Linked DNA regions of Kluyveromyces lactis. The protein of the gene in region 1 purifies or fractionates together with the protein of each later gene. This does not show direct contact. Links are inferred from orthologs where the notes say so. Each region holds a gene or a part of one and is shown in the gene's direction. Other genes may lie near its edges.

Region 1 (9,416 bases):
ATGTTTCCTCAGTATCTTACTCAAATTGGCATTGGTGGAAAAAGATTTGGAGATGACTGAACGACATGCAGCATCAACTGTTGTTGAAAACATCAACGCACCTACCGTATCTGTCTCGAAATTGCAGCTCGTGAAAGAACTATATGATCTTACTGAAAAATGTTTCATTTCCCTTGCAACTCAATCGAAGAAGTATGACCTATTAAAAACAAGCTTGTTTTATAATAAAACACAATGTTTATTTGCATATTTTATCCAAATCCTTCAAATGGACAGAATATTAGACGTTTCGACCAGGTTTTGGGACTTCAAGCTCTGCAATAAGCCAATTCCGCAGAAAGTAGTAACATCAATTGCCAGAAAATGGGGCCTTGATGTAGAACATGCAGAAACTATTAGAACTAATTTCTACCTTCACTCTTCGTTACATTTGATAGATGCGGATGTTTGGATTCACCTTCAAAAGAGATTGGTCAAGTTAAACCTACCATCAGCCAATTTATCATCAAATGCATTCGAAAAAGATCCTTTGTACTCGGCTGCTTCCTCGGTAGATGCACCAATGGATTTAAATCTTGACCTTTCAAACTTCTTCGATCTTGATGCCAATTTAGGTTTTCCTTCCTTCTCCTTCTAGTTATTCTTCATCTTACCCTTCAATAATATGTTCATGTAAATAGTAAATGATAATTGTAACAGTAAAATATCTAAATTGGAAACTGAACTTTGACTCTAACGCCCTGTATAAATCCCTACTATGTATCACCTTTGGGTTTATGTCTTCGTTTTCTGATCACATTGGAGACCCTTTCGTCATACTCTCGACGTAACTTTAAATTTGACACGCGAATTTCATGTCACTATTTAAGGGTTTAAAAAAGTTACCAATGGGTGAAAAAGCTACTCTTGTGAACATAAACAACAGTCACTGCATCACATAAACCTGGCATTCAGAAGAAGCTAGTACGAAGTTTGGTTTGTGATCTTCAAGTAGCAGTCAGCGGTATACTTGATTCTTCATGGTATTGGAGCTTGGAATTCCCACGGTGGCGAATTTGCCGCTTGAACAGCCATTATTTTGTACAGGCGATGACTCAATCTACAATGTTGCGAAACTAATGACTAGTAAAAGAAAGTACTGTGTTCTAGTCACCAGTGGTGAGCATTTGGAAGGTATTATCACTACCAAAGATCTAGCTTTCAAGGAAGGTTTGGTTGCTCGGGACGTATTATCGACAACTCCGGTTCTTACGCCCTCATCAATGCCGGTTACCAGCGCTCTCCTAATAATGGTCGAACAGAAAATTAGACATCTACCCATAATTGACCCTAATTCTAAGCAGATCGTTGGGATCTTAGACATTACGAAATGTTTCCACCAAGCAATGCGTAGGTTAGAAATCATGGCGCAAGACAGTGTGAAATTGAACAATGCCATTCAAGATGTTATCGAGAATGAAGCAACCATGACGAGACATAAATTGTTGCAAGACATAGCAACTTTGATAGAATCCATGGAGACGCCTGTCTTAGAGTCTATTTTGGACTCTGATGTGTACAACACAACTCCGCTATTTGCTAGTCCTACGACCACTGTCTCAAAAGCAATGAGCATGATGTCTGAGAATAAAAGTACTGCTATTTTAATACATGATTCTTCGACCAAATCTGACATCAGAAATAACAATGACTGCAATATAATAGGCATCTTCACTAGTAAAGATTTCGTTTGTCGAGTATTAGGTCAAGGAAATTCCGTCGATCCAGAGTCATGCACCTTGGCTAGAGTAATGACAACGAGGCCAAACTTTGCCTTCCAAAGTCTAGGTATACATTCAGCTCTTCGAATGATGTACGAGGGTCATTTTTTGAATTTACCTGTTATTGATGACACAGGAAATATTCTAGGTTTGATCAGTGTCCTTCAATTAACACATGCTGCGCTCCGTTGTCAATTTGCTACAACCTCAAAAAACGTTTCGTCACAGTCTGCTATTGAAGAACCTTATTTGAAGATAAATTCGGTTGACTCTCCCTTGGGTTCTTTGCTTGTAGAGAAAGATGTTGATGAAAACTACAGGACTGGATCAGCATCTGAGCTAGAAGTTCCTTCTTTATCTATAAATTATTTTTGGAAATCTTTTGATGCCTCTGATAATGAAAGTGCTTCTTCTAGTCAATTATCTTTGGTAGATTTAACACAAACAATAGGTAACTTTAGCTCCCACAAACAGTTACAACAATCGCAACTTCATTTGCAACAACAACATCAACAATATCCTTCACAATCACAGCAACCGATCCCAGAACAGTTTTCTGGAAGAAGAAGCTCCACATTATTACAAAAAAAATTCTTCGAAAATGGAAAACATACCAAATTCCGATTGAAAGTTACCGTCGTGAAGCCTAATAAGGATAATCAAGTTCTAGGCTCTATGAAATTCAAGACTCAGTCCGGAGTAAACTTTGAAAAAGACGTCTTAAATGAGATTGTAGCCAAAGTGAAAGAAACTTATGGAATCGAATCACCGTACTCCATTGAGTACATGGATATCGAGATAAAAACTAATGAAAAATTGCATCAAATTTATGACGAGTTCATTGTTATGCAGGGCTCCCGTCACTATATGCCTTTGCTTTTTATTCTGCATGATAAGCAGTCAGGTGTTTTCCACCACCTACGTCAGTTTTTTAAAACGATGGCAACTCCATTCACCGCAGTGTTTCATACTTCCTCATTGAAGATATACATGCAGGCATGTATAGTCTTCTTCGCTGGTTTTATGGTGGGAAAAGCTTTAAAATGAAACATTCGGGGAAGTTACTGGTTATCCTTGCCATATACCGATGTATATAGATTATACATTTCCACTCATAATTCTTTCTTATTAAATGAATAAACAATTGGCTGCCAAGAAAAAAGAAAAGAAGCACTAGAACATCTATCAGAAATACAAAGCAAATATGGAAATATATTCACATCAATTAACCGTTTCCTTCTTCTGCTATATTAAGAACACTGTCCAATGACAGATGACGACGATCTTGATATTACAGAGAGCACCACTATGTGTTACCCGCATATCACTATGGACGATGCACTATTAGTTTGACCTGCCAAATTTTTCTTCCTTCTCTGTTCCTGTGATTCCAAATTATACATGAAAGAACAATTCGTTCTAAGATCAGATATTTCAGATATATTGAAAATTGAATAGTAGTACATTTTATGTTACAGTTACTGGTTTTTGCTGAAGTTTTAGCATTGAACATAAGTTCGCCTTCGTTGCAATCAGTATATTTTGACGGTAGGAAAATTGAGCTTGTAAGCAATAATCTCTATTGAGGGAGAGAATCGAAAAGCTGATAGCAGTATAGTTTACTTTGTTTGTTCTTTGTTCTTCTACTATCCTTTTCCTTTGAATCATTTTTTGTGGTGGCTGATTCGAAACAATGTCAGTTCTACCGGATGAAGTGAACAGCACCTTGGTGAAGTTGCTACAGGGCTTTGCATCACCAGACAATGCGATTCGTTCGGCGGCAGAAGATGCTTTGAATAACAACTGGATTACACCGGAGCACATCGAAGTTTTGTTGATGTTTCTAGCGGAACAATCTGCATATTCTGATGATTTGACTACTGCAGGTTTGTCTGCAGTTTTGTTCCGTAAGCTAGCTTTGAGAGCGCCACCTTCATCTAAGACTATAATCATTGCCAAAAATATTACCCATATTTCGAAGGAAGCCTTGAAGCAAATTAGAGATACACTTTTGAAGGGTTTTATCTCCCAAAGACCCAACAATATTAGACACAAATTATCTGATGCAATTGCAGAATGTGCGTTAGAAGAATTACCTGAGTGGCCTCCGTTACTCCAAACGTTATTCGAAGCTATCAAAAACACAGATCCAAATTTCAGAGAATCTAGTTTCAGAATTTTCTCAAGTATGCCTCATCTAATCAATTCCATTGACATCAACCATGCTTTGCCTATCTTTGAGAGTGGATTCACGGATCCTAGCGATGAAGTCAAGATTGCAGCTGTTACAGCGTTTGTTGGGTACTTCAAACAGCTTCCAAAGAATAACTGGGCCAAACTAGGTGTTCTATTACCAAGTCTTTTGAACAGTTTGCCAAAGTTTTTGGATGACAGTAAAGATGAGGCCTTGGCCGCCGTATTCGAATCATTGATCGAATTAGTTGAGTTGGCTCCTAAACTCTTCAAAGATATGTTCGATCAAATTATCCAATTTGCAGATATGGTCATCAAGAATAAAGATTTAGAACCGAGTGCCAGAACGACTGCTTTGGAGTTGTTAACTGTCTTCAGTGAATGCGCCCCTCAGATGTGTAAAAATAATCAAAATTACGCCCAATCAGTGGTACTTGATACCCTTGTCATGATGACTGAAGTTTCCATCGATGATGACCAAGCAATCGAATGGCAAAATTCGAATGATGTAGAAGAAGATAATGAGGAAAATACCTACGATATGGCACGTCAAGCTTTGGATCGTGTTGCCTTGAAATTAAACGGAAAATACTTGGCCGCACCTTTATTCCAATTCTTACAACAAATGATCACATCTTCTGAATGGAGAGAGAGGTTCGCAGCATTGATGGCGTTATCATCTGCTGCAGAAGGTTGCCGTGATGTATTAATGATCGAGATAGATAAGATTTTGGAAATGGTTGTTCCACTGATCGATGATCCACATCCAAGAGTTCAATACGGTTGCTGTAATGTATTGGGTCAGATATCCACTGATTTCGCTCCTCTCATTCAAAGCACTTCGCATGAAAAAATTTTGCCTGCTTTAATCTCTAAGCTCACTTCAAGCTCTGTCGACAGAGTTCAGACCCATGCAGCGGCTGCCTTGGTGAACTTCTCCGAACAAGCTACGCAATCGATTATGGAACCTTACTTGGATAGTCTTTTAACTAACTTATTAAGCATGTTGCAAAGTTCCAAGCTGTACGTTCAAGAACAGGCCTTAACTACTATCGCATTTATCGCAGAAGCAGCCGAAAAGAAATTCATCAAATACTATGATACATTAATGCCATTATTGATAAACGTGTTGAGAACCGATACAGGTACTGAAAGCAGAGTCTTGAAGGGTAAGTGTATGGAATGTTCTACTCTTATTGCATTAGCTGTGGGCAAAGAAAAGTTTGCCTCCTACTCTCAAGAATTGATCCAGTTATTCATAACTTATCAAAATGAAGGTATTCAGGACGACGATCCTCTAAAGACTTACCTTGAACAAAGTTGGAGTAGAGTTTGCAGGATTCTTCGTGAGGATTTTGTTCCGTTATTGGATGTAGTTATTCCGCCACTACTTGAAACTGCCAAGGCTACCCAGGACGTTAGTTTAATTGAAGAAGAGGAAGCTGCAAACTACCAACAGTATACAGATTGGGATGTTGTGCAAATTCAAGGTAAGCACATCGCTATTCATACTTCAGTTTTAGATGATAAAGTGACTGCTATGGAGCTTCTACAAGTTTACGCCACTGTGTTGAAAAGTTTCTTTGCATCATACGTTAAGGAAATCCTTACAGAAGTTGCCGTCCCATCTATTGATTTCTACTTACATGATGGTGTTAGAGCTCGTGGTGCTACTTTAATTCCTGCTTTGTTTACCTCTTTGGTATCGGCTGTAGGACAGGACAACGATATCGTTTTACAATTATGGCAAATTGCATCTAATAAGCTAATTTCTGGAATTATTTCTGAACCGATGCCAGAAGTTACTAAGTCGTATCACTATGCTCTTGTTGATTGTTTGGGAATTGTCGGAAACAACGGATTAAATCAAGAGCAATTGTCACAATTTACACAAGGTGTGAACAATAACTTAACCGACGTCTACGAAAGAACAAAATCCCGTTACGATCAGGATGACGAATACAACGAAGATGTTGATGACGATCTTGATGAGTATACCGATGAAGATTTGCTTGACGAGATTAACAAATCTTTAGCTGCTGTTTTCAAATCAGCAGGTGTTTCTTATCTACAGCAGTTCCAGACTTTATGGCCAATAATACATTCATACTTGCAGGAGACTGAGGTATTCATTTTATTGTTCGCCTTGATTGCAATTGCTGATATGATAGAATACACTGGCGATAACTCTGCACCTTTCAAACAGCATTTCGTTCAGAAAATTAAGGAGTGCCTCACATTCCCTGAACCCTCCATTCGCCAGGGTACTGCATACCTACTCGGAGTATGTGCACAATATGCCCCCAACACCTACTCTGACATATGTTTGGGATCGTTGGAAACTTTATTCCAAATCGTCAACATGCCAGAATCCAGATCTGAAGATAACGTTAATTCCTCGGAAAATGCATCTTGCGCCATTGCAAAGATCTTGAGCAGTTACGGCTCCAGCATTCCAAACTTTGAACAGTATACTGCCAACTGGTTGAAGACTTTCCCCGTTATCCACGATGAAGAATGTGCCGCGTTCAATTATAGAATGTTGGCACAATTGATAGACCACAATTCGCCTGTGATTCAAGGTAACACAGCCGAAATCGTTGATTATGTGATACAAGCCTTACATCAAAAGTCTATCGGTGGAAAAAATGCTACTGCTGTGGTAGAATCTGCAAAAAAACTACTAAGTACTATCCCACAGGAACAAGCATCTGCTCTACTTCAACGATACCCACCGGAAATCATGCAAACCATACACAAATGGTTCGCTTGAATTATGATTCGTGGGTTTAATTTCCCAAGGCCAATTATCAGATATATGTACATGTTTAGCCCTCTATACTGATTTTTATGAATTAGCATATGAGTCTTCTTATACTGCATAGACATTTCTACTTATTGAACGGAATAGATTCAAGCTTGTATCAGTTTTGCTATACTATGCAACCCGCCTGGCACCAACAATTTCCATTATCATTATTCTTAATAGAGAACTCTTTTTTTCTTTTTCTTGAAATCCTGTGAAGAAAAAAATACTGAAAAGAATTGTTAAAGCGATGAGATGAGATGAGATGAAATGAGACTGAAAGTATTTGATAGCAAAAAGATTCATTGTGAACTGTCCCCATTTGGCAGAGCACACTTTTCATTATCATAATATAAATACATTATTCAGTAATTTCAAGATGGGTTTGGCAGCAGCAAGGAATAAACAAAGGTTTGGATTGGATCCAAGAAACACAACTTGGAGTAACAATACATCAAGATTTGGACACAAACATCTAGAGAAACTAGGATGGAAACCTGGTTCCGGTTTGGGATTAGTTCCAGATTCTACAACATCACATATCAAGGTTTCTATCAAAGATGACAATCTTGGGTTGGGAGCGAAACTCAAAAAGAAAGAGAAGCAAGATGAATTTGATAGTGGTGAATGTACGGGATTGGACGTCTTCCAAAGATTACTTGGAAGATTAAATGGTAATGAGCAGACAATTTCAGATGAATTGGATAAGCAAAGAACCGACAATATTATAAACGGGAAATGGGGGATACACTTTGTGAAGGGAGAAGTCCTTGCAAGTACATGGGATGCTGAAAATAAGCAACTCATAAGTTATAGTATGGGTAAGAAGAGACCGGTAGAGGGATCGTCTGATAGTGAGGTTAGCGATCGGAAGAAGACAAAGAAGGTAAAAAAAGAGAAGAAGGTTAAGAAGGTCAAAAAGGAGAAGAAAGAGAAGAAAGAGAAGAAGGACAAGAAGGAGAAGAAGGTTAAGAAAGAGAAGAAGGAAAAGAAAGAGAAGAAACTCAAGGATAAACATTCAAAAGATACCAACGAAATTACTCGAGACCAAATGCTGAAACCTAGAGATTCAGCTGCTGTTGTTCCAGATGCCGTATCTACTAGGCTCTCGGTCCGCGCGAAATGGATCAGACAAAAGCGGGCTGCAGTGATGGATGCTAAAGCTCTGAACGAAATATTTATGGTAACAGACTGATAGATAACATACGTATACTTTTATTTAAGATATCAAACTAATATTACACTGCATTCGACAGCAATGAAAAAGATGGTGCACACCATAAGCGCAGCAAAGGAGGTCCCTGATTTTCTCACTTCCAAGTTTGAAGCAGAAGAAGATGATTTCGATGATGATGAGGAAGAGGAAGAACTTGAGCTAGATCCACTGCTACTGCTGGTTCCAGAACTGGAACCTCCGGAGGCATTTGCAGTTGCTGATGATAGGACAGCATTACAGCTTGAGGCAGTGCTTGAAGCTGACACAAGTGTAGCTGAACCGCTGAACGAACAAGCAGATTCGTTTTTATCATTTTCTTCGTAATACTTGTTCAAAAGGTAGGAAAGTTTAGTTTTTGAGTCACAGAAAGAGTATGCCCCATATTTACCAGTTGTTGCATTGTTTGTGATATCTGAACAATCTATGTCCGCACATACAATACCAAACAAATCAGCATAATCTTTAGTAGCAACATCGTCGGCTACTATACATGAAAGACCTTGTTCAAGACATTCACAAGTTGAATTGTCTGGAGTTGGGGGTAAATCTGTCGAGGCTTTCCAGTATATACCGGTGGAAGGACATTCTAAACTGGTGGTAGTGGCCTTATCTTTAGTAGCGGATGTTGGCGAGATACTGGCAAGGGCGGATTTTAGATTGTTGTAATCAGTTAGGGTTTTTACCTTATCGTCATCAATAGAAACCAATCCATATTCGTTGTCCTCCTCAAAGTACATGTAAACAATCCCACCTGACCAAACATCAGTCATATCATCACCATATAAAGAAGCAACATCCTGAAATTGTCTAGGTTTCACCTCGTTACAACCATATTCTGAGAAGAAAATTGGAACTGAAAGGTTGGAAAACTCTTTCGTTCTATCAGCATAACCAGATTCTTGGAATGTAGATTTACCACACCATTCATACATGTTGATACCATAGAAATCAACCTTCACATCTTCATCACCGCATGCAAAGTAGTCAGCCATGACGACTCTGGTGTCCTCGTCATCGTTGGACGAGTAACCAACAGGGATAGATCTGTACCCTTTATCTTTGATATATTTCTTGGTATCTCTAACGGCAGCCTTCACAAAAGCCGAGGCTTCTGTGTTGGTAGAGTTGTTGGTAACTTCATTACCTGCGAAGAATCCCAAAATGTTAGTGTAATTGTGTAGTGCATCTACCACTGAGGTGTAACGCTTATACAAATCCAAATCCCAGGATGGATCTGATCTAGAAATGGAATCGGCTGGTTCAGAAAGATCGGCAATAATATAAATACCGTTCTCTTGGAACAAATTCAAACAATCGGAATGATCAAGCGAAGTGTTAATCGCATACACACGAAGCACGTTGGTGTAGAGGTCTACCAAGTATGGCAAATCCCTCTTACAAGAGTCATAGTCGGCCAAAGGATCATTGATAGTAGTCTCAG
Region 2 (6,507 bases), on another chromosome or scaffold:
TATCGTTGTTATTCGATGTCATGTAGTGATCAAGCACCATTGTTAACAATGGTTTAAATGTGTAAAAGTTTGTCATAGTAGTACCCAGTGCAATGGCTTTTATATAAGCACCGCGATCATTTGAATTATCTAAAAACGTGTTCACGACACTTAAGAAAAATAATGGTGGCTCAGTTTCCTCTAAATGCCTATCATCTCTAATTGATCCAATCTTACCACTTCGCAGTCCATTTTCTTGTTCTTCTTCAAAGTCTTCCTCTTCAATTATCAGTGAGGAATCCAAGTCAGTACCTTTAGTCTTATTTTTGGATACAGGAAACAACTGGTAAACGTTTTGATTCTTGTATAAGACAAAAACAGTGAAATCTGGTTTACCTGGATGGTTCTCCACACTATTCGGTATCATCAAACTGGCCAAATGAGAACAAGTGGAATCACTCCCAATAGTTTTAAAACCAGGGATTGTCTTTGGATATTGATGCTTTATTATCGGCCCAGATTTGTTATCAAATTCTGCCGCTATTATAAATTGAACATTGGGGTTAGAGTGTGTGTGTTCATTTTGAGATTGTCGTAGGTGAAAGTTCAATCCTGTTTTTACCTTGGAAGAGTGTTTCATAACTGGTGAACGCGCGGTCTTTCCTCTTTAATTACAGAGTCAGTCCGTTTACCACCTGACCGTCGTTCGGAGATTTAACTTGCCAGTGAGACGTCTGTATCATTTCGCTGTAAAATAGCACGATTTTGACCCATCATCGTCTTTCTTTTTGAACCGATCAAATAAAATGAACCAAATAATATCGCTAACAGTGAAATAATCATGAAATTACCCGGACTGTAAATGGATTCAATTCGGCTTCTATTCGCTTATGACAGGAAGGCATAGAAGAATGTTTGGATACTAAGCGTTGTAAGATTCCCGCCACAGCCTACTTGGGTCTATCTGCGGAAGCGATCCATTTGAACATAAGATTGATCGAATAGCTGTCTATCTTATATATCAACGGATTTTACTTTTCAGTTGTTGCGGCCTTACAATTCACGAAATAAAGCTAAACGATGTTTGTTGGAAACAAATGAGTCCCCTCGACGAAATTATGGAGCATTATCTTTAGTCTTTGAAATGACTGTTATTCACAAAAATCTTTATCATGTCAGGAATGAAGTAAGTACACCGTTACATATGCAGCAGATCTTAGAAAATGACAATCGTTACCCTCTTTTGTTGATCGTGCTGGTTTTGATTTTCTTGAAAAGAATTGGACAAAAAGTTTGATATTTGATTTTTTTTGTATAAAAGGAGCCATAGATTTTTGCCCATTGGAATTTTTTTCCCTTTTTCCATGAAAGTTGTTCTTCAAATTTCTCTTTGTTTCTACTTCATAAGGCAAGCAACTTTATAAGTTATTTCCTTCGAATCAGCTACCCATCAGATTCTTTTTTTTACACTCTCATAAGCAATGTCTGCTCTAGATCAATCATTAGATGAAATTATTGGCTCAGCCAAGCATGCCAGAAGAAACAACAAGGCCGGGCCAAAGAAGGTTTCTAAGCAAGTCAACAAGAGCCGTACCAGAACAGGTGCCGGTCCTTCTAGAGTTCCAAAGAAGGCTGCTTCTGCTGCTGCCCTAGTGCCAGCTTTGCTAAGAGCTCCTATTTCTACTAGAGTTAATGTCGAGGGTTTGCCAAGAGACATTAACCAAGACGCTGTTAAAGTATGTCCCATTTTAGCCATGGCCTCTTAGTAGGTTCTTTTCTAATGAAAAGGACTGTCGAGATGCTACTGTACTGATTGCGAAAACAAATCGGATCAAACTGCAATAAGACTTGCGGTTAATTTAAGTTTACAACGGATATATCCTGTGGAATTCCATCCTTATGTTTACTATACGATCATACATTCCCGTGTATTTGATTAAGAAGAAACGGTCGATCGATACCTTTTTTGAGGTCTGATATTGATGTGTGAATAATTTATTTCAGAGTTAGTTTTTATTGAGCTAATGAAATATAACAAAACGAAATTAGCTATCCAATTGGCTGGGTTTCGCTTTTCAGCAAGCCTTCCTTTGTGATTTCTTTCCGTTTTTCTCCTCTAAGTTGACAGAACTTTTCATCAAAATTATGCACTGAACTTCGTTTATTTACGACATTTTATTTGATGGAGAAACGGTAGTGAATCACGATTGGGAAATGCCGAAAAGATGAAGTATATCTATTTTTTCTCGTCATATCTTCTATTCTTGTGACATTATGTGTCACTGGAGTTTCTGTTACCATTTATTACATTTGGCAATGCATCTATTTTTTAATGATGCCCAGTGTATTATTCTCTTTTTTCTAACTCTTTGCAAAGAACTGGGAATTTGAAGAAGATTACTTGGTGTACACCTTGTAGGAACAATTAAGTTTGACCTCTTCCTTGGTGTGTGTTTAGCTTGATGCCTCAATCTTCAAGATAGTGCGACATTTTTAGCAAGGTCGTCGTGTTTGACAACTTCAAAAAAATTGGCAAAAATTGAAACGCCACTGAAAAGCAAGTTTCAATGAATGTAATAAATCGAGATGGGTATGCTGGATTTGAAATCGATTTTCATTTGTCATTCTGCTATGAACATGTTCTATCTTGTCTGGTTGAGATCTCATCACTGACTCCAGATTTACTCTCCAAGAAAAAAAATAGAAAAGAGAAAAGTTATAGTATACTTACTTTTTGTTGGTTGTCATGTTAGATCCTACCTTCAAATCGAAACCTAATGAAACCCATTTGTGGTATATTTTACTGTTTAAGAGTTAACTTCATATCGTGACAGAATTGACCGGGTCGTACATGTATGATGAATTGTAAACATGAATGATTTCCTACAGGACTATTCATTGAAGACTCCGCTGTTTTCAGTTATCTATGAATAGTTTCACTAACAAAAATTTTGCTCCCTTATTATTACTAGGAATTTTTCAACCATCAAGTCGGTGGTGTCCAAAAAGCTTTGTTGAGTTACAACGAAAGGGGTAACTCCACTGGTATGGCCACTATTACCTTTAAGAACGCAGAACAAGCTAACTTAGCTGTAAAGAAATTCCACAACGCACCAATTGATGGTGGTAAATCCAAATTGAGATTGACGTTGATTGTCGATCCAAGCAGAAAGACATTATTGGACAGAATCCGCCCTGTACAGAATGCTCAGGCTGCCGCGCCAAACAAGAAGGCAGCTCCAACAAAGCCTCAACCTAAGAAGAAACCAGCCGGTCCAAACAAGAAAGCCATTGCTGCTAAGCAAAAGAAAAGAGCTAAGCCAGAAAAGAAGTCTTTGGAAGACTTAGACAAGGAAATGGCTGACTATTTTGAAGAATCCAAATAAGATATTGCGTTCTTGAAATTACTGGACTGAGAAATTATAAAGTCTTCCTTAATAACGAACGGATTGTCTCTGCTTTCGAATCTATTCGTTAGACATCCTAGAAGTTCAGTTCATTTGTTGTTTGTTTTATATTCCTCAATTTCAACCGGTGTGACTGCGTGGTTTCTCAATCAAAAAAATCCGTATCTTTCTTATGTGCTCGGCCTATCTTTTCTTACCTAGCTAAACTTTATTATAATATTGATATCAATAGTTTGTATTTTATTTCACTTTCTTTAAGCACTATTTACATGAGGAATCTTTCAGTAAAGAACAGGATATATTTCTAGATTGTTTCATTTAGTCATTGCAGTGTTTGTGTGTGTTGTTAATAAATAAGTGTGATGGGTAGGTTCGTGTATTGCCTTGCAGAATTAAAATCTTGCTTATTAATCATTCGTTACTTCTTCTATCCAAGAACCCTAATCTATCACCACGCTTTCTTGTATTGTAGGATAAACCGGCCCCTTCAAATTCACTTTTCCTTTTTATTTCCGTGGTTTCTTCTTCTTTCTTCATGGGGAACCCTGGTTTCACCAGAGCAGGGTTTGCGTAATAAGAATCTGCATCTTTCTTCTCATCCCCACTCAAATTCTGCGGGTCGAACTTGGAAACTTTAGCATCACGTACAACGGTCTTGACGATAACTATAGAAGCAGTAAGACCAATACACAAATACGCAAAGTTTCTACCAATATTTTGGAATGGGTTAGACATTTTTATTGAAAAGATTGTATCTACCAAGTTTGCTCTCTGATGCTAAATGCTAGAAACCAAAAGCCAAATAAAAATAAAAACTCAAAGTTGGTATATGGTTCGTCACTCAATCCGAATAGTTCCTTCTTCCGTTCAGGATCTATTTTTTTATCAACACGCTCTATGATGCTGTTCTCAATCTGTTTTTTATTTAACTGATTCCTCTACTACTTTCGCTCAGTATCTCTGATTCCTGCTCATATTTGAATTCAAATCTTTATTTTCCTTAGATTTCTTTCGCTGAGGAAAGGTTCGCCGTAACCCATTGCGGAAATAAAGAAAGAAAGAAAAAAAATGTTGACCTCATGGTGATTTCACCTTATTCCACACACCATTATCATACAGATTGTAATAACGTTAAGCAACTACCTGTTCATTTATTTATTTGTGCCTAGATATTGACCGAGTTCGAGAAGCTGCAACCTGCAACCTGCAACCTGCAAGAGAAGAGACTAGTATCTTCGGATTGGACGAATTAAGTAGACAAGAAAAATAGACCGTCTCTCAGCATGAATACTCCTAAATCTTTCTGGTATGTTAAGATGACACTGATACAGAATTTCTAACGCACGAGGTTGCTTTATACGCTCCGATCAATTTCATCACTTTACTAACCTTCAAAAAGCGGATGGATGTCTAGGGTCGACCTGGATATACACTCTCTTAAAAACCTTTCTTCTTAGGGGTGGCATGGCTCTAATGACTGCTATCGGTATGGGTTCTTTGTACGTTGCAAAGGGTCAAATGGATGAAAGAAAGGCGGGACATGCCAAGGGTTCTGCCAAATCTTGGGAAGAAATCGCCGAAGAGCATGGAATCGAAACGAAGAAGTCCGGTTCTGCCGTTGAAACTAAATGATGAAACACCATTCCTGTTTATATGCTTTTATATAATATTCTAAAGTTGATGATCCTTTTTGCTGCCCCAAACACTTGGCTGGCGCAACTGCTTCTATCAACTTCTCTCCTGTAAATCATAGACCGATCTTATTCATATCTCTATTTTTCTAACTACTTAAGATTCTGAATGTGCACAACTGAAAACTTACTTAGTCAAAAGCCTGAATTTTTAAAGATGTGAAATAATAACATTTATGTAATTTTGAAAAAAAGATTCCATACTCTGATTCACAGTGAGTCGCAGTAAGTCATCGCTCGCAAGACCATCCCAGAAGTGTGTATGAGCTATTTGTGAGATGTCAGAAATTAATCCTAACGATGTGGATGAATTAGCGCACGCCATTGCTGGATCTTTGGGTGGTGCAGCTTCAATCGCAGTGACCTACCCTTTAGTCACCATCACCACTAACCTTCAAACGAAGGAAAACGAGGCGAGACCTAAGCTAGAGACTATCAAGGAGATCTATAACAAGAATGGTATCATTGGATACTTTTTAGGTTTGGAAAGTGCTGTCTACGGGATGGCTACGACTAATTTCGTTTATTACTATTTCTACGAATGGTGCGCAAAGACTGCAAGAACATTGACAACGAAACAGTACTTAAGTACTTGGGAGTCGATCCTGGCCAGTACCATTGCTGGTTCGATGACTGCTGTTGCCAGTAATCCAATTTGGGTTGCTAACACCAGAATGACAGTTGCTAAGAGCAACCATTCGACCTTAAGAACAGTCATAGACATTGTGAAGACAGATGGTCCATTGACTCTTCTCAATGGGTTGAAGCCTGCTTTAGTTCTTGTTTCAAACCCTATCATTCAGTATACTGTCTACGAGCAATTGAAGAACCTTGTTTTGAGACTACAAAGGAAAAAAGTCTTGAGTCCAAGTTGGGCATTCTTGTTGGGGGCCATAGGTAAATTAGCAGCTACAGGAACCACGTATCCCTATATCACATTAAAGACTAGAATGCATTTGATGCAGAACGATCCAAAACATCAAAAATCGATGTGGTCGTTGATTGTCGAAATTGTGAAAAAAGATGGGGTCTCCGGACTTTATAATGGTGTTGCTGTTAAGTTGGTTCAAAGTATCATGACAGCAGCATTTTTATTCTTCTTCAAGGAAGGTTTCATTCAATGGTCTTTGAAATTTATCAAACTTCTGCGTTCAGTCACCAAAAGTAACAAGAAGAACACTTTGTCTATCTAATCTATTATATTATCCTCTATCGTAGTCTATTCTGAATTTTTGATTATTCTTTATATATTATGAGTGCATTTGGATGCTTCAGAGTCAACCTCAAAGTAAATAGGTTAATTTGCGAGAGGTACAAGTTTAAAACATTTTCTTCAGTGTTTCGTAAGTGTAAAATACAGTAGCATTAGCCGGTGCTGCTCTGATCAAAGTTATACCGAGACCACGATAAAAACCAGTAATGCCATGAGT

Evidence for each region.
Region 2: the proteins of PSE1 (region 1) and YRA1 purify together in Saccharomyces cerevisiae (affinity purification with mass spectrometry; 4 studies listed by BioGRID). This does not show direct contact. The link is inferred for Kluyveromyces lactis from reciprocal best matches to the Saccharomyces cerevisiae genes PSE1 and YRA1.

What each region holds. Positions count from the first base shown.
Region 1 is NC_006039.1:1,220,440-1,229,855, reverse strand, and holds PSE1 (importin PSE1), read left to right. Parts: upstream 1-3,453; coding exon 3,454-6,726; downstream 6,727-9,416. Other genes in the region: KLLA0_C14212g (uncharacterized protein), read left to right, coding at 1-637; KLLA0_C14190g (CBS domain-containing protein), read left to right, coding at 1,020-2,807; PXR1 (telomerase inhibitor), read left to right, coding at 7,139-7,954; KLLA0_C14113g (uncharacterized protein), read right to left, coding at 7,987-9,416. UniProt on the Saccharomyces cerevisiae protein: Functions in nuclear protein import as nuclear transport receptor. Serves as receptor for classical and arginine/glycine-rich nuclear localization signals (cNLS and rg-NLS) in cargo substrates.
Region 2 is NC_006041.1:255,499-262,005, forward strand, and holds YRA1 (RNA-binding protein YRA1), read left to right. Parts: upstream 1-1,460; coding exon 1,461-1,715; intron 1,716-2,951; coding exon 2,952-3,365; downstream 3,366-6,507. Other genes in the region: AFI1 (Afi1p), read right to left, coding at 1-619; COI1 (Coi1p), read right to left, coding at 3,798-4,121; KLLA0_E02795g (uncharacterized protein), read left to right, coding at 4,851-5,018; KLLA0_E02817g (uncharacterized protein), read left to right, coding at 5,356-6,270; ORT1 (Ort1p), read right to left, coding at 6,397-6,507. UniProt on the Saccharomyces cerevisiae protein: RNA-binding RNA annealing protein. May have a role in pre-mRNA metabolism. Component the TREX complex, which operates in coupling transcription elongation to mRNA export.